5 linked regions of the Callithrix jacchus genome follow. The protein of the gene in region 4 purifies or fractionates together with the protein of the main gene of each other region. This does not show direct contact. Links are inferred from orthologs where the notes say so. Each region holds a gene or a part of one and is shown on either strand. Other genes may lie near its edges.

Region 1 (3,518 bases), on a different chromosome or scaffold from region 4:
CGTGCCACCAGATGAGTGGGGTTGGGGCCTAGTGAGGTGCAGCTGGTCCAGCCTGACCCTGTCATGAGCTGGTTTTGCCTGTGGCTTTCTGGGTGTGGGTGTGAGAATGCCCTGGAGCAGCCCAGCCTTGGGTTCACTGTCTGAGCTTAATTATTCAGATGCCACTGCCAGAATTGAAGCTCCTCTGTAACTGTTGTGTTCTTTCATTAAAAACTGTTTAGTTATCAGTTTTGAATAGAAAAGGTTGGCGCTTTTGCAGGTGACAGTCTAATGAAGTAGCAGAACTGCTTCTTGGGAGGATACAAAAATGGCAGCCATGTCCGATGGTGGTGCAGGGTCGAGGCGGGGCGGGGGTGTCCTGGTCCGGGCCTCAGCACCTCCAGGTGCTGGGTGGGGTGGGCTCTGTAGGGCGGGTCAGTCCTCTGGCAGGGCTGTGCTGCCTCGGGAGGTGTCAGAGCCACCCTCCTGCTGTGTTGGAGTCCCCTGGCCCTCAGAGCAGGCTGGGCTGTGTGTAGTCCAGTGGACGTGGCTGTGTCCAGTGAGCTTTATTTGCAGGAAAAGGTGGTAGCTGGGTTTGGGTCTGGGGCAGTAGTTTGCAGGCCCCTGCTGCACAGCATTGGCAGTTAGAATCTACTCTTTCGTAGGCTGCTGTCTTGGCTTAAAAGCTGATCTCCCCACCCCCATGCATCTGGATGGTGCAGCACAGACCTGCTGCCGGCCTCACCTCCACACCTATGCAGACTGTTGGGGGCCGCAGGGTCTGGACCCTGAGTGGACTCCTTATCTGACCAAACGCTCTCATCCCCGCCCCACTTTCCTCCCCAGCTGTCACCATTTGGGGCCTGTCTCTGGCCTCCAGTGGTTCCTGTTCCGCTCCTTTCCCTGCACGTGTCAGTGAGGATGTTCACAGAGGAGCAGGCAGCCCAGCTGCTGCCCATTTTGAAGTTTAAGGAAGTTCTGATCCCCCAGGGAAGTGCTGTGGCGAGTGGGGTTTTTTCAATTGTTGGGGGAGCTTAGAGGCCTGGCTCTGACCCCTTTCTGGGATGGCACTGGCATCCCATGGAGAGAAACGTTGTGCAGTATGCGGGCGGCTTCGCAGCCAGTCTTGAGCCCCAGTGCCCTTTGGTAGGTATTTACTCACATGGCTGGGGCAGCCCAGAACCTGGGGTTGCTTTCTGCCAAATCCGGTTCCATCCCGGCCTCACCTCCTTCCTCCTCAGGGTGCCAGCCGGGCTGCCGACGACGCTGAGCGGGAGCGCAGGGACCGAGAGGAGCGGCTGAGACACTCGCGGAACCCGGCCACCCGCGGCCTCCCTTCCACAGCCTCTGGCCGCCTTCGGGGGACGCAGGAAGTGGCTCCCCCCACACCCCTTACCCCTACCTCACACACAGGTGAGTGCCCCCCTCCCAGCACTCTGGGACGGCTTCCTGTGTCTCAGGGTTGGTGGGGGCAATGCACTTGGTGGTGGACACTGTGAATTTCCCACGTCAGGTGATGCTTACTCCTGAGAGTGGATGAGCCGGGCTGCCTGGGCGCCTTTAGAAATGCAGGCACCTGCTGGTGTGTGTGATTCCTCCCGTATCCCATGTTTCTCCTTTGTTCCTCCGGCTGGATTTGAGTGTTGGTGGCCATCAGCTCTGCCGGCTCCTGACTGTCCAGGCAGCCCAGGGTCCTCTCCGGCCACAGCCTCTCACAGGAAGAAAGCCCTGAGTGGCAAGCAGCAGCCAGGGGCAGCCCACTCCATTTCTCTTCCTCTCTCAGCTAACACCTCCCCCCGGCCCGTCTCTGGCATGGAGAGAGAGCGGAAAGTGAGTATGCGGCTGCACCGCGGGGCGCCCGTCAACATCTCCTCTTCCGACCTCACGGGCCGACAAGATACCTCTCGCATGTCCACCTCACAGGTAGGTGCAGAGCTCCTGGGTGGGCACCGGCCTTGACTGTGCCATCCAAGTCCAGAGCAGGCTGTGATTTCTGAAGGGCGTGTTTCCTTCCTTCCTTTTTTCCCCCATTTTTGAGAGTTTTTAATCTCGCTGAGGCGTGGTGGCCTGGTTGCTGATGAGGCTTCTGGGGAGAGCCTGGGAGACAGGCCGGGCCATCACAGGGCTCGTCTTCTGGTCACAGATGGCCAGTCTCAGGTCTCAGGTGCCCGAGGCCAGCAGACCGTGGGGGTTTTCTCCTGCCATTTGAGTGCCCTGCCGCCCCAGCTATCCCCACGCAGGCAGCAGCACTCGCCTGCTCACGCCTCATCCGGGGTGCATTGGTGAGTGCCCTGGCCCAAGAACCTTCCTCATTCTTGCCACTGGCCAGGGTTGGAGGCCTGTAGGGACCTCCACAGGCTCCTCATAAGACCCTCTCTGCTAGTGTGCCCTGCAGCGAGGCTTCCATTCTTTTGACGGCCTTGTCTGTCTTCCTTCAGATAAGAAGCACCCCTGCTTCGCAGCAAAGGCAGGCAGCCCGGGTTGGCCACAGGTGCCGCCTCGTCAGCATCCTCCTCCAGCAGCCTCTCTTCTCCTCTCCTCGCTCTGGCTTGTTGTCTTTTGCGTTTACTAATGTGCTCTTCGAACCAGAACAGCTTTCTACCTATGAATCTGTTGTGTTTCTTCAGAGTGTTCTGGGTTGTTCACCAACAGGGGCAGGGTTGCCCTGTCATGGCTGTGTTTCACTAGCAGGAATCCTCGGGGTACCCAGATTCCCCACAGGTCTTCTGGATGAGCAGGAACTCAGTTCAGAAACGTCCTAGAGTCTGGCTGTGGGCTTGTGGGGCAGTGTCTCTTGGGGTCACAGGATGGAGCCAGGCCCACTGTCGTGAGCAGGGCTTGGTGTAGCTGGCTAGCCAGGAAAGCGCCGGTGTGGGGAGCACTCTTGGCCACTTGCTATCTTTTAATAAGTGAGTTTAGGCCGGGCATGGTGGCTCACGCCTGTAATTCCAACACTTTGGGAGACCGAGGCAGGTGGATCATGAGGTCAGGAGTTCAAGACCAGCCTGACCAAGATGATGAAACCCCATCTTCACTGGAAAAAAAATTTTTTTGAAAAACTAGCTGGGTGTGGTGGCAGGCACCTGTAATCCTTGCTTACTTGGGAGGCTGAGACAGGAGAGTCACTTGAACCCAGGAATCAGAGATTGTAGTGAGCTGAGATCGTGCCACTGCACTTCAGCCTGGCCGACAGAGTAAGATTCTGCCTCAAAAAAAAAAAGTGAGTTTATTGCACGTTTCTAATTCACTAGTAACTTAACTAGAAATGGATTTCTTATATGGTAACATTCTCTCAAAGAAACCAAAGATGCAGAGATTTTGACTTTGTAGTTATTTGCATTGGGCATGAGGGGTCCGGCCTGCATCAAGAGAGTGGTCCCTTACATGCACACAGCCCTGGTCTCACCTCCAGACACAGAAATGGTTTAACAGGTTTCTTCCCACGAGCCTGGCACTCACACCTCAATTACTGGGAGCAGGCCCCAGGAGGGTCTGCCCGTGCCCACCTGTTTTCTTGACACATGGTGGTTCTGTAGCCC
Region 2 (3,518 bases), on a different chromosome or scaffold from region 4:
GTCTGTAAAGGCCTAGTACAGGTCAGCTTTCCTACTGAGTGGTAAGCTCCCTGAGAGCAAGTTAGTGGCACATTCTCTGCTTTTCTTTTAATACGTGATGTGTAGTGATTTTATAGACAGATGGAAGTTCTTTGTAGAGAATATAAAAATATAAGAACAGGATAAAATTAATTTAGGCATAATCTAATTACCAGTCTATACTTCTGTGCTTTACTGTTGAAATCAGACACCTCACCCAAAATGTGGTTGAGATATCAAGACTGATGACATTACATATACACTAAAAGGATATGAAAAGGTTTTTGTTTTTTGTTTTTCCCAAGATGGAGTTTCACTCTTGTTACCCAGGCTGGAGTGCAATGGCGGGATCTCGGCTCACCACAACCTCCGCCTCCTGGGTTCAGGAAATTCTCCTGCCTCAGCTTCCTGAGTAACTGGGATTACAGGCACGCGCCACCATGCCCAACTAATTTTTTTGTATTTTTAGTAGAGACAGGGTTTCACCATGTTGACCAGGATGGTCTCGATCTCTTGACCTCGTGATCCACCCGCCTCGGCCTCCCAAAGTGCTGGGGTTACAGGCGTGAGCCACCACGCCTGGCCATGAAAAGGTTTATTACTTACATGTTGAACCTTTTTAGAGAGAGCAGGGGAGGCTCCCAGACAGATCCAAAAATGACTTCAGATAGCAGGCAAGGTATGATTGGCTTGGGATTTTATGGTGGTTAGAAGGTAGGGTTAGGTGAGGGTACTCTTACACATGGGCTGGCATTTGTGTTGGTTGAACTCCCCATCAGCACCAAAGGAGGGAGTGCCTAGGCTTTCTTATCACTTTCCCAGATATGGGGCAGAAGAGAAAGGATTTGAAAGCTGTCAACAATCAAACATCAAAAATGAAGTCACCTAATGGAGTTATCTTTACATAATTTTATTACATTAAATTATACATTGTGTGATTTAATTTTTTAAGTCTATTTTAAGCATGTTATGGAGTTACAGTATTATTTTGTCTTTATTATCAATATTATTATTATTGTTTTTTGAGACAGAGTCTCACTCTGCCACCCAGGCTAGAGTACAGTGGCTCGAGCTTGGCTCACTGCAACCTCCGCTTCCCAGGTTCAAGTGATTCTCCTGTCTTAGCCTCCCAAGTAGCTGGGATTACAGGCAGGTGCCACCACACCCAGCTAATTTTTATATTTTTAGTAGAAACAGCGTTTCACCATGTTCGCCAGGTTCGTCTTGAACTCTGATCTCAGGTTATCTGCCCACTTTAGCCTCCCAAAGTGCTGGGATTACAGCTGTGAGCCACCGCACCCAGCCATATTCTGTCATTACTTTCAGTGACTCCATAATATGGATGGAAACATGTATTTGATTCATCTCCTATTATTAGCAGATTAAATTACTTGTAGTTTTTGCTATTATAAATATTACCTGATGAAATCTCTGCAATTAAATCTTTTGTAGTGTCTTTGATTATCTCTTTTGGGATGACTAGAAATGGAATTACTGTATCAAAGGATCTTTTTAAGGAATTTCCTATATGTTTAATTATCTTTCAGAAACTTTGAAAAGTTTATGTTTCCTTCAGTGGTATGTTGAGAGTCCCTATTTCTACAAATGCTTGTCAGTTCTGATTTTTTTTTTTAAGCAATTATTGCCAATCAGTAGTTAAATAATTGTATCATTTGCTTTATTTTAATCAGTTGTATCCTAATTTTGTACAGACTATGAAAGCAAACCCATGCACTTGTTTCAATACCTACAGCAAAATATTTGACAAAACTCACCATCTTTTTGTGATGAAAATGCTCAGCAAATTAGCAACAAAAATAACTTTCCCCAACCAGACTAAAGGCATTTTTTAAAAACCTACAGCATGGTGAAAGATTGTTTTTCCTTACAACTCAGAATAAGGCAAGGATGTTTGCTTTCACCACTTTCACTTAATATTGTACTGGAGGTTATATAGTCAATTCAGTAAGGAAGAGAGGATGAGAAGGAAGAAAGAAAATGTGGCTTAGATCCACAATGAAGTACTATTTGACCGTTAAAAAAAAAGGAAGTCATGTCATTTGTAGCAACATGGAGGTTGCTACATTAAGTTAAATAAGCTAGGCACAGGAAGACAAATACCACATGTTCTCAGTCACATGTGACTGCTAAAAACACTGATATGATAGACATAGAGAATAGAGTGATTTATACCAGAAATTGAGAAGGGTGGTGGGTGGATGAAGAGAAGTTGGCTATTGGCTACAAACACAAAGTTAGAAGAAATATGTTTTAATATGTCTTTCTTATCTTTAATTTTCCTTTTTGTGGAGACAAGTCTTCATATGTTGGCCAGGTGTATCTCAAACTCCTGGGCTCAAGCAGTTCTCTCAGTTCAGCTTCCTAAAGTGCTGAGATTACAGAACTTCACAAGTTCTAATGTTTTATAGCATGATAAGGTGACTATACTTGGTGGCAATATTTTGCGTATTTCACAGTAAATATTAATAGAAGAGAGGACATGAAATGATAGTGACACAGAAATGACATATATCCAAGGTGATGGATACCCCAAATACCCTGGCTTAATAATTACCCATTCTGTGCATGGAACAGACACTCACATGTACTCCATAAATATGTAAAATATATGTATTAATTAAAAAAAATTTAGGCTGGGCATAGTGGCTTATGCCTTTAATCCCAGTACTTTGAGAGACTGAGAGAGGAGAATTGCTTGAGCCCAGGAGTTCCAGACCAGTTTGGGCAACATAGTGAGACCATCCCCATCTCTACAAAAATAAAAATAAAGTTAGATGTGGTGGCACACCTCTGTGGTCATAACTACTCAGGATTCTCAGCTGAGAGAATTGCTTGGGGCCAGGAGGTAGAGGCTGCAGTGAGCCATGATTGTGCCACTGCACTGCAGCCTAGGTGTCAGAACAAGACCCTGTCTAAAAAAAAATTTTTTTTTTAAGTTAAAGATGGGGGGAAAAAAGAAAGAAAGGGGCATATAGATTGGAAAGGAAGTATTAAAGTTGTCTTTTTTTCAGGTGACATGATCTCTATGTAGAATATTCCAAGAATGCCACAAAAAAGGCTACTAGAATTAATAAGTGAGTTTAGTGAGGTTATAGGACCCAAAGTCAAAATACAAAAATATGTTCCATTGGAAAGCAAAGTTCCATTGGAAATCTCTTAAAACAACATTTTCTATTATATGTACCTGCCAGTTTTACATTTATTATCACAAGTAACTAATGAAATAATTTTTTATCACTCTTCTAGGGGAACTTATGACATTTTAGTAACAAAAAATAATCAAACCCGCTCTGTTGGTCAATATGACAACCGTGGCAGTTTTGGAGAACTAGCTCTGATGTACAACACCCCGAGAGCTGCTACCATTGTTGCTACCTCAGAAGGCTCCCTTTGGGGACTGGTAAGTGAAAGACATTTTTCACCTTGGAAGGCACAGTATTAATTGCCCTTCTGGGTCTCTGTCCTAGGGCTCTTGATTT
Region 3 (3,518 bases), on a different chromosome or scaffold from region 4:
TGTCATTCTCCTTCTGTTTATCTGCAAACACAAAAAGGCGCCACTGAGAAGGGCCACCATTTGTTTTTTCCAACCTTATTATATAAATACAGCACTTCAAGAATACAAAAAAGAATGAGATTCGATGTGGCATTTATGATTTTGGCATTCCAATTGTCTTACACACTTTGGGCAGATAAATTTGTCAACATCAAGGCTGCAGATTAAACGTCACTGGGATAAAATGGGTCTGTTTAATTTTCTATTAAACAACAGGCCATGTAAACCTAGTTATTTTGCCTTCACAGAGCAGCAGGTAGAAAGTACAGACAGAGGAAAACACAGGGCCCAGAACTCTGGGAATGGGTGTTGGACTGGCCACAGGCCTTCTACCAACCTAGCCCCAGGAGGCCAGCAGGGCTGTACAGATGGTACCTTGAGGCCCATTCACTCCTGAGGCTGAGGACAGCACCTCTCCTGAGGAATGAAATACACCCAGAGGTACAAGAGACACCGTGGTCAAGAGCACAGTGCTTGAGGCAGAGAGGCCATATTCAAGAGCGGCTTCTCCATTTCCTGACTTCATAACCTTGAGTGAGGAGGCTCTTCACTTCTCCATATGTGTTATTACGGGGATTAACTGAGCTACCAGCTATAAAATGTGTTTCCTCACAGGTGTTATTGTGTGGATTAACTGGTTGCCATCTATAAAAGGTTTACCACAGGTCTTCAGGAGCACTCTGGGGGCTGGAAGCTCCATCAGGCTCAGTTGCCAGCAGTGCTGGTGGTGGTAACAGCTGAGCTGCACCAGCACTACCTGTGCAGGTATGACATTGGGGCCTTGACATGCAGTGCCCTGGTTAATCTTCAGGGCTGACTTCCAAGGCAGGCACTATTATTTTCTGCTTTCCAGATAAGAAACTTCCTTAAGGTCACACGGCCAGTAGGTGGCAGAGCCAGAATTCGGACTCAGGTTTTCTGACTCCATTCTTAACCATGACAAGATAATTTCTAAGCAAGCATTCACCTCTCCCCTCAAGCTCCAGACACGTCATGCTTCCTTCACTTCCCGAAAGGCCTGGTCTCTCTTCATTGCTAACCACCGGGCCTTTGTCTGCTCTCTTCCTTCTATTTAAAGGGCCCTGGCTCCTCTCAATCTTTGGCACCTTCACTAAGCCCTCCTCGACTCCGTTCTCAAGGCAAGCTTTTCCTGAGTCAGGATGCCTTCTCTAGGGTCCTGCAGTTCCCATAGTCTGACTTTATCATGGCAGCGGTTCACACTGGCCTGCCATGATTGTCTGGCTGTCTCTTCCATCCGATTATGAGCTCACTGAAGGAAGGGATGAAATCTCTTTCATTTCTGTATCAGAGTCTACATGGCCCTGAAGTAGAACAGGAGATAGGAAATGTCTGCTGAGTGAATGACTGACTGACTGAAGCCCCAATTTCATCTCTTAAGCCAAAAGGAACATCAATATCCTTTTAGGAAAAGTGGAATAAGCTGGCTCAAGTTCTAGCTGTACCACCTTCTAGCTCTGTGACCACAGGCCGGGCAATTCTCTAAGCCTGTTTCTTACCTGTCAAATAGGGCTAATGATACATTATCCCAGAATTGTTTTCAATAGTGAAAGATAATGTAAGTGAAAGCTTTTTAGGAGCCAAGCTCCAAATAGAAGGAAGTAAGATAATGGATCTTTATAAAAAGTATAGGATAAATCTTGCTGATAGCAGGAATTCTCTTGTGGAGATTTTGGCAGTATTGTGTTTCCAGCCCTTCTTTCCCCCACTGTGAACTAGGAGGAAAGACACGTGGCTATAGAGGGGATGAGTGACAAGCAAATGAAGTAACACACTTACTGAGTCCCTATTAGAGACACTACATCATTCAATTGTCACAACAGCCCTATGAGGTATTCCAGCACCTCTCTGATTCCAGTGTTCTCAGCTACAAAACAGGAACACCTCACAGGGCTACTGTGACAATTAAATGGTGTAAAGCCATCGCAGAGCCACAGAATTCATACTTAGGTTGGTCAGACTCCAATGCCTGCATTCTTTCCATGTCACAGAAGGCTTTGGCATTCCAGGCTTCCAGTGACTCCTTTAATTCTTACCTCTGGATCCTTTAATGAGCATTGCATTGAGGGCCTCGTTCTGCTTCCTCAAGAAATGAATTTCTGATGTTAGAGAACTATGAAGCTCGGAACCAGAAGCAAAAATGTTTGTAGAACCTAAAAAAACACACATGAAGACTGATTTATAAACAGTCTTTAGATCAGCAGAGATGGAACTTTCTAGAAAACAGTTTTAAACAATGAGTTAACACAACATACAATGACAATCGCTTCTGTTAACTATGTAAGAAACTACCAGAGGCCAAAGAGAAATGAGAGTAAGCCTGAAAAAGGGGGCAAGAGGGGCTCCCCCACATCTTACCTAAGGGAGAACAAAGCAGAAGACTTGGACCAGGAGTGGGGTGAGCAAGTGAGAGTCTTCACCTTCACAGATGTCTCTCCCAAGGTCAAAATTTACATATCCAGCTGCCTGCCACACCTCACCACTGAGGCAACTCTGTCACTCAGTCCACAGAGCCAAAGCTGAACTCCTCATCCTTCCAAACCTGCTCTCTCTCACCTGTTTCCTGCCTAATGAGATGGTATCGCCACAATCCCTAACCCAAGCTAGAAAGCTGGGAGCCATCCTAAACCCTTCTCTCTTCCACTGCCCAATCAGGGAATCACAACTGCTGCTGCTTCCTCCAAAATGCTTCCAACACTGACCTACCCTTTTTTCATCCTAAAGTTCAGGCCTTATCACTTTGCTCTCTAACCCTGTCTCCCCGTTATTCTGCCAGTGCTTACAGGTTATTATCCCAAACAAAGTCCATTCAAGTAACTGTCTATTCAGAAACATCTGATGACCCACCATGGCAAAGGACAATCACACAACAAAACGCAAGGGCCATCTTCTTAGTTTAGACACCTCTACTCCACAGATAACATTCAAGTTCACTGCCACCCTCAGGAGAGCACCTACTGTGTGCAAGGTGCCTTCTCTATGTGGCAGGCAGATGCTTCCCTCCATGTCCTCCACACTCATTGGGTCCACTTACTACACCACAGAGCCAAAATGCCAGATTCCTGCTTTCCTAGCCACCCTGCATTGAGGACACGGTCATGTGCCACTTCTGGCCAATGAGGCCTGACAGGAAGTCTGCCGGGGTCTTCTGGGAAAGATTTTCCACCAGCATGAAAAGAGGACAGGAAGGGGCCCCACCTTCTTCTTTCCCATGCTTTGGACACCGTCTAAGAGACTGGGATGATTGTAACTACTGCAGTCATCACAGATAGTAACCCAAACTCTGCTGTCACTGAGCCATAAACCTACCTTGGAACTACCTGCCTCTGGGTTTCTTGTTAGGTGAGAAAACACAATCCCTGTTGTTACCGTCAGTTGCTACTCTCATTCTGTTGCTTGCAGCTGAAAGCATCCTGGCACACAACTGAACACCTATCCTATTCAAACTCGTTGCAGGGGAG
Region 4 (2,765 bases):
CCTTTAGGTACCCAGGCATTCCAGCTGATTTCAATCCTGGTTCTTTAGCATGTTCTCAGCTTCAGAATTATGATCCTGACAGAGCCCTAACAGATTATATCACTCGGCTAGAGGCACTGCAAAGACGACTTGGAACTGTACAGTCAGGTGCTCTAAGTTTAACAACACCTTGGCAGCACCACAGTGCTAGACCCACAGCTATCCTTTCTTTAAAACTCCTTCACACTCATCATTAGGATAATCAAAGCTTCCACTTTAATGCATGAGCTATCAAGTTAGCCAAAGCTTAAACTCTTGTAACCAGCAGAGAGAAATTGACTTTAAATAATTTAAGTGAAGATATGATTTATTACCCCATATACCACTCCTCCCAGACATGATTTCCTACTATCTTTATTCAGTGGATTGATGACACAAAATGCATGATAAGCACCAATGTGCAAGGTTCTCTGAGTCTACACAGCCTGATTGGAGAACGTGTTCCTAAGTAATGCATGGTGGAAAGTGGTAAGGCCGTACCACAGCACTCCAGCCTGGGTAGGAGAGCGAGACCCTGTCTCAAAGAAGAAAAAAAAAGAAAGCAGTAAGGCATGTGAATCAGGTGGAGTTAAGGAGGAAGCACTTGCTGAAGCACTTAATGTAACCATCATCCATGCTACTACATTGTGCTTTTATGTATCATCCAAAAAACTATTCCATTTAAAACACTTTGTAAAGATTCTTTTATTTTTCTTTGTTCAAAACCGAAGAACACTTTAAAATAAAGGTGGACCCTGTTCCCGGAAGGAAAACCTCTTTTCCCTATCTCACTTCACTTCACTCCTCATTCAGAGACTTTGAATCATTTTAGTTTAAGTGATTGTGCTCTAAGTCAACTTTTATATTTTGCTTTTACTTTTATTAAAGACACTTTTTTCCTACTAGTCTCATAAACTATTGGTTGATAACATATTATTTTAACTTAGTAGTGTATCTCTTCAAGAAATCATTTAACCCAAGCAACTTGTAGTAGTAGGAAACTTTTATTATCATAGCTGAGGTTTCTTTGTTGGTTTGCCTTGGCTTGTTTTGAGCACCCAAATTTCACAAAATGTGGATTTTGAAGACCAAAAGACTTTCAAAAATATATGAGGTATAGAACATTCAACTTTGAGAGCACTTTAAAGAAACTCTAATCATTGGTCTCACCTATTTTGCTATAGAGCCCAGTCATGGTGATTTTTAAATATATATTCAAATTATCTTCAAAATCAGTTTAAGTTTATGGGCTGGGGGCGGCAGGAATGCTGAGGCGGGCAGATCACAAGGTCAGGAGTTGAGACCAGCCAGTTCGAGAACAGCCTGGCCAACACAGTGAAACCCTATCTCTACAAAAAATACAAAACTTAGCCAGGCATGGTGGTATGTGCCTGTAATCCCAGCTACTCAGAAAGGCGAGGCAGGAGAATCCCTTGAACCCAGGAGGCAGAGGTTGCAGTGAGCCGAGATCACACCACTGCATTCCAGCTTGGGCAACAGAGCCAAGACTCCATTTGTGGGTAGGGGGGCAGGTGAAATCCGTTTAAGTATGAAGAAGACATTTTAAGGGAAAAAAAGGCTTTAAAAAAATTGAGAATAATAGTAATCCCCTTTGTGTGAACTCTAGTGGGTCTGACACAAATAGTACTGTAATTTGAAATAATTTGAATTTCCTGTTTTTCTCTCATAGGTTCAACTACTCACTTTCATGTTGGCATTAGAAGATAATCTTTTGAAACATCATTAATTGAAGTGATTTAAAACAGATTTCCTTTTATAAATCAGTGGTTCTTTTGTGCTTTTGTATTGTGAATATTCGATGGGACCAATATCAACACAGCTTATGATTGTATACAAATCCCTTGCCAACACATGAAAACAAACTGGAATTTGTATATATAAGCATTGTGTATGTATTCATGCACAATAATCATTGAATTACCTGTATATTTGTGGAATGCTAATTTAAAACATTAAATTATAAACCTTGTGTATTTATCAAATGGGTGAAGAAAAGATTAAACTTTCACACATTACATTACTGCTGAATGTGTAGCTTGAGGTGTCCTGCACTTTTCTTATAAGGCTACTGAAGTTACATGTTTCTGCCTAATATATTCTACTGGTGATGAAGACAGATAATATCACTTGTAGAGACCTATTTTTGTATAACGATAGAAGTTTTGAATTTTATGGGGTATTTTGTCAAGTACTGAAATAAAAATGACTTCACCATTTTCACCACACTGTATTTGAACCTTCTTCATTTTTAACTGAGCCATAGTTCTTGGTATATAGCATCTCATTATGTCAAATACACAGGAGTGAGAGATTCAGAGAAAGTTGTCCTAATCTTAGAGTTAATACTGTTTAAAGTTTTCCATGTGCTTTTGTGTCAACTTTACATCTACATAGTGTTTTTTAAAAGCTATATTGGTATTTCATGATTAATCATTATTTACTATATTACAGTTAGTGTTACTTGTATCCAAAGATGTGTTCTCATAAATCAATGGCCACTAAAAAGATGAAGAAATCAAACTCGAAAGATCTTAATCACATTGCAGCAGAATTAAACAGTATCCCTGTTGTCCAAGCCAAATTACGATTGGGAGGCTCTCACAGAGATAATACAAATTCCAATGTTATTTCTCATCTGGAGTCCTCCCCGGTAACATGTCAACTCACAAAACAGCAAGAGGACTAGTATTTGGTGCTTATATCTGGAGGATTTTGTCTTATTATTT
Region 5 (4,055 bases), on a different chromosome or scaffold from region 4:
ATATAACTGGTATAGCAAACCCAAGATTTCATTGATATTATTGTTTAGAAAGAGCTCAAAGTTTACATCTGAAAAGAAGTGAGAAAAATTTTTATTATTTTAAATTAAAGAAAATATGATAAAAGTAAAAATCTGGGAGGCAGCTGAAGAATGTCAGAGTTGGGAAATTCTGGGATTCAGGAAGTTTGCTGGTAGATGGATCTGGATGTGAATCCTGCCTCTGTGACATCACCTATGTCATGGATGTCATTTCTTTCTTCCTTTTTTTTTTTGAGACGGAGTCTTGCTCTGTTGCCAAGCTGGAGTGCAGTGGCACGATCTCAGCTCACTGCAACCTCCATCTCCCAGGTTCAAGCGATTCCCCTGCCTCAGCCTCCCGAGTAGCTGGGACTACAGGCGTGCGCCACCACACCCAGCTTATTTTCTTGTATTTTAGTAGAGACGGGGTTTCACCATGACCAAGATGGTCTCGATCTCCTGATCTCATGATTCACCTGCCTCGGCCTCCCAAAGTGCTGGGATTACAGGCATGAGCCACTGTGCTCGGCCCGTCATGGATGTCATTTATATCAGAGGGCTCCTTTGAAAATCTGGATAACAGCCCGTTATGAAAGTCACCAGAGTAGATGTATCTATCCGCCTGGCCATTTGGCCAGTGGTGCAGCCTAGACGCCCAATAAATAGTAGCTCTATTTCAGTGATCATTCATTCCTGGGTGTCTGACCTGTGCCCTGAGAGAATCAGCGGTTCCTTCCAGAGCCTCTGATCTTTTTCCTGGGATCCTTTTCTTTGTGCGGCTTTCCACCCCCGACCACGTGTCTGATAGCCTTGAAGGTTTCACAGGACTGTCATCTCCCCAACTTCCAGTGGAGCCACCGCAATACATTGCTGCCCGCCTCTACCTTCCACCTCCCAGCTGGCCTCACCTGCTGGGGGCCTGGCTCCTCCCCCTCTGCCTAGTCCCCTCCAAGCTCATGCCCGGACCTTTTTTGGACACCACCCACCTGCTCCTCGGTCATCAAGCACTCAGCTATGGGCACTTCCCTCCCCGGCCCCCTCCCATTGGTGACATGTCAGGCCTCTTCATGGTTGCTCTGTGACTCTGAGTTCTGCTATTTGAATCCATATGGGAATAAAGTTCCCTGGCTTTCATCCCTTTCAGGGAGGGGGCATTCCGAGAACTCAGATGCTGGGGTTTGAGACCCAAAATTGGCCTGCCTTTTCAGTTCCGAACTATTTCTGGGTAATCAGACGGGATCCCAGTCCCTTCCAGCTTTCAGACTGGAGTGAGAACAATTTAAGAGCTGGAAGCACTGGGAATGGGTTTTAAGACCATTTCTGAGGGTATTTCCAGATACAGAATCTCCTCTGGCTGGCTGGAAAAGGCCAACAGCATTTGGGGGCAAGTGGGTAAAACAGGTCTCTCCCTGGCTGAGTGCTGGGAATGATCAGAATCTATTTGTTCCTTGGCAAAACAAATCACTAGACGTCACCCATTACTCTCTTTGACCGCCTCCACCTCCCCAGTGCTCTTTCTGACCATCCCAATTCAAAGCGAACGAACCTCGCTAAACCCAGACACTTTTCATCTCAAGCCAGGAGCGGTGGAAGAAGCCCCAGGGACTGGGTGAATGACGAAGCCTCAGTTGGGAAACAACCATTTATTGAGAGGCCCTCCAAGGAGCCTAAGGCTCACTGCAAGGCAGGAACCGCGAGGGGGCTCTGGCACCGCCCCCTACCCCAACGCAGGAAAGACGACGCAATGAATCCCAACAAGACCAGCTCAAACTTGGCTTTGGAAGCACTTAAGCAGTTCTCTAGGTTCATAAACAGTCTGCTACCCAGCCAGGAACAGACGCTTCCTTGGAGGACGGAGCACAAGCAGAGAAGCAGAGTGACAGAGTGACAGGATGAGAGAGACAGAGGGACCCAGAAAGATCCTGTCCCCCATGCCAAGTGACACAGAAGAAAAAAACAGTGCTGGAGGTGGGCCTGGGAAAAGCTCAGGGGGCAGGGTGGGTTTGGAAGGGGGGCCTGTGCTAAGGTGAAGAGGGGAAGGGCAGGAGAAAGATGGCGGGGGCTGGAGGGGGGAGGGGTGTGGTCACCAAGTGGCCAAGGTCCCTGCGCGGTGGAGGCAGAGAGACCCCATCTCATTCCCAAACTGGCAGAAACCTGGGTCGGGGTCAGGCAGAGGATCCCATGGGAGAGGTGAGTGAGGAAGTGGGGGGGATTAGAATCTGGGGAGAGGGGCCAGGAAAGGAGGGGTAGGCTGGTGTCAGGGCCCCGTGTGGGGCCCCAGCGGTCATACGTGCCATGGTTGGCAGTGACAGCTGGGGGGGAGCACGGTCTTTGCAGTGTGGGGCGGCCCTAGAGGAAGGGGACCCCTACAGGGGGTACTCTGCGGGCCCGTGGGCCCCAGCCTTGGACAGGCCGGGGCAAGGGGCGCTGGGGGGTAGGCAGAGAGGAATGGGGGGGCCTCGTGGGGGGAGGGGCCAGGCGGTGATGGACAAGGCCGGGGCTGGCAGCGCAGGGCCGGGATCGGGGTCACGGCCCGGGCACTCACCGCTCTCCTGCTCGCTGCCCTTCTTGGCGGCGGCGGCGTTGCCCATCGCGGCGGCGGCGGCCGGGGCCGGTCCCGGAGCTGCGGCGTTGCGGGTGCTGGCGGCGGCCGGCGGCCCCGGAGCGCGCTGGGCGGCGGCGGCGGCGGCCCTCGGGCTGGCTGCGCTAGCTGCGGCGCCGCGACCCCCGCCCAGCCCCTGCTTCCCGCGTCTCTCCGCGCCCGCCCGCCCGGGAACCTCAGCCCAAGTCCGCTGCTGCCGTCCGTGACGCCCCCGCAGCCCGCCGCTCATTGGCCTAGGACGCCCTGACTGACGGCTCCGCGCCGTCGTCCATTGGTCATCCCTCGGGAAGGCCGCGCCGCTATAGGCTCTCAGCCTCGTGACGTATACCGGGGACTCTCGGCCATTCACACACTCGCGAGGCCGCAGCTGGGCGGGCAGACGAGTCTGATTGGTCAAGAAGCTGGAAAGGGCCCGGGGTCCGCCCCGCGAGGCCACCGATTGGCGGAGGCGCGCTGTCCCGCAAACCCCCAGTAGAACGCTCAGTGTCAATCCGGGGGTGAGAGGGCGGGGCGGAGGCGCAGTCTGCGGGCCCCGGCCGGCTGGGCGGAGCGGCGGAGGCTGGCGGGCGGCCGCGCAGCACTCGGAGGCTCAGGAGGCGGCTCCGGCGGGCTCCCGGCCGGCCCCGCGCACGCCGCAGTCCCCCGCCCCCGCCCAGTGCGGCAGCGGCTGTCGGCCAGCTGGGGTTGGCGCCGCGGCCTGCCCGGCGCAGCCGCTGTCCACCTGCCAGTGGGGGAGGAGAGCGGCCGGCGCGCGGGTCAGAGGTTGCCCGGTCGCCGCCGGCGTCATTCATAAGGCCTGGCGCTGGGCAGTCGTGGTGGCCAGGCCTGCTTGGGGGCCAGGCCGCGGAGGCTCCTGGGTTTTCCCAGCCGCAGGCAGGAGGATGCCGGCCCCGGCGCAAGGGGTGGCTGAGAGGGGGCGCTCCGTGTCCACCCCTTTGCTGGGCCCCAGTCCTGGGCTCCTGCCAGTAGTAAGAGCTGGCACCTACTTAACGCTCCTTCGCACCATACTCCCATCGCGTAGGTGCTACCATCATCACTCCCATTGCACAGATGAAGAATCTGGGGTACAGCCAGGCAGATTCCCTACTCACATTCCCTGTCTGTTTCCTGTCTGGGCAATGCAAAGGGAACCTGCCCCTTCCTTCGGGATTCTCTTTCAGTACGCACCTAGCCAAGGACAGTCTGGGTTTCCCAACTGCGACACTACTGACAGCGGAGGTGGGGCTGGATCATTCTCTGCTGGGGGGTGTCTTGTGCACCACTAGGTGTTAAACAACATCCCCGCCTCTACCCACTGGGTGCTAGTAGCCCCTCCTATTCCTGCTGGCCGTGGCAACCACCGTCTCCCGACGTTGGTGAATGTGCTCTTGCGGGGCAGAACTGCTCCTGATTGAGAAGCACTGATGAGGAGTGCTTTTTACATTATTTTTTAATA

What was found.
Region 1: the proteins of AKAP9 (region 4) and CSNK1D purify together in Homo sapiens (affinity purification with mass spectrometry; 4 studies listed by BioGRID and IntAct, counting the BioPlex papers as one, with this or other methods). This does not show direct contact. The link is inferred for Callithrix jacchus from reciprocal best matches to the Homo sapiens genes AKAP9 and CSNK1D.
Region 2: the proteins of AKAP9 (region 4) and PRKAR2A purify together in Homo sapiens (affinity purification with western blotting; 3 studies listed by BioGRID, with this or other methods). This does not show direct contact. The link is inferred for Callithrix jacchus from reciprocal best matches to the Homo sapiens genes AKAP9 and PRKAR2A.
Region 3: the proteins of AKAP9 (region 4) and CDK5RAP2 purify together in Homo sapiens (affinity purification with western blotting; 4 studies listed by BioGRID and IntAct, with this or other methods). This does not show direct contact. The link is inferred for Callithrix jacchus from reciprocal best matches to the Homo sapiens genes AKAP9 and CDK5RAP2.
Region 5: the proteins of AKAP9 (region 4) and PRKACA purify together in Homo sapiens (affinity purification with mass spectrometry; 7 studies listed by BioGRID and IntAct, with this or other methods). This does not show direct contact. The link is inferred for Callithrix jacchus from reciprocal best matches to the Homo sapiens genes AKAP9 and PRKACA.

The regions. Positions count from the first base shown.
Region 1 is NC_133506.1:137,884,437-137,887,954, reverse strand, and holds part of CSNK1D (casein kinase I), read left to right. Parts: intron 1-1,220; coding exon 1,221-1,392; intron 1,393-1,762; coding exon 1,763-1,902; intron 1,903-3,518. UniProt on the Homo sapiens protein: Essential serine/threonine-protein kinase that regulates diverse cellular growth and survival processes including Wnt signaling, DNA repair and circadian rhythms. It can phosphorylate a large number of proteins.
Region 2 is NC_133516.1:31,404,883-31,408,400, reverse strand, and holds part of PRKAR2A (cAMP-dependent protein kinase type II-alpha regulatory subunit), read left to right. Parts: intron 1-3,285; coding exon 3,286-3,439; intron 3,440-3,518. UniProt on the Homo sapiens protein: Regulatory subunit of the cAMP-dependent protein kinases involved in cAMP signaling in cells. Type II regulatory chains mediate membrane association by binding to anchoring proteins, including the MAP2 kinase.
Region 3 is NC_133502.1:168,803,386-168,806,903, forward strand, and holds part of CDK5RAP2 (CDK5 regulatory subunit-associated protein 2), read right to left. Parts: intron 2,211-3,518; coding exon 2,094-2,210; intron 22-2,093; coding exon 1-21. UniProt on the Homo sapiens protein: Potential regulator of CDK5 activity via its interaction with CDK5R1. Negative regulator of centriole disengagement (licensing) which maintains centriole engagement and cohesion. Involved in regulation of mitotic spindle orientation.
Region 4 is NC_133512.1:57,509,240-57,512,004, reverse strand, and holds the end of AKAP9 (A-kinase anchor protein 9), read left to right. Parts: intron 1-7; coding exon 8-147; intron 148-1,708; coding exon 1,709-1,746; 3' UTR 1,747-2,262; downstream 2,263-2,765. UniProt on the Homo sapiens protein: Scaffolding protein that assembles several protein kinases and phosphatases on the centrosome and Golgi apparatus. Required to maintain the integrity of the Golgi apparatus. Required for microtubule nucleation at the cis-side of the Golgi apparatus.
Region 5 is NC_133523.1:12,894,405-12,898,459, forward strand, and holds the start of PRKACA (cAMP-dependent protein kinase catalytic subunit alpha), read right to left. Parts: upstream 2,810-4,055; 5' UTR 2,610-2,809; coding exon 2,564-2,609; intron 1-2,563.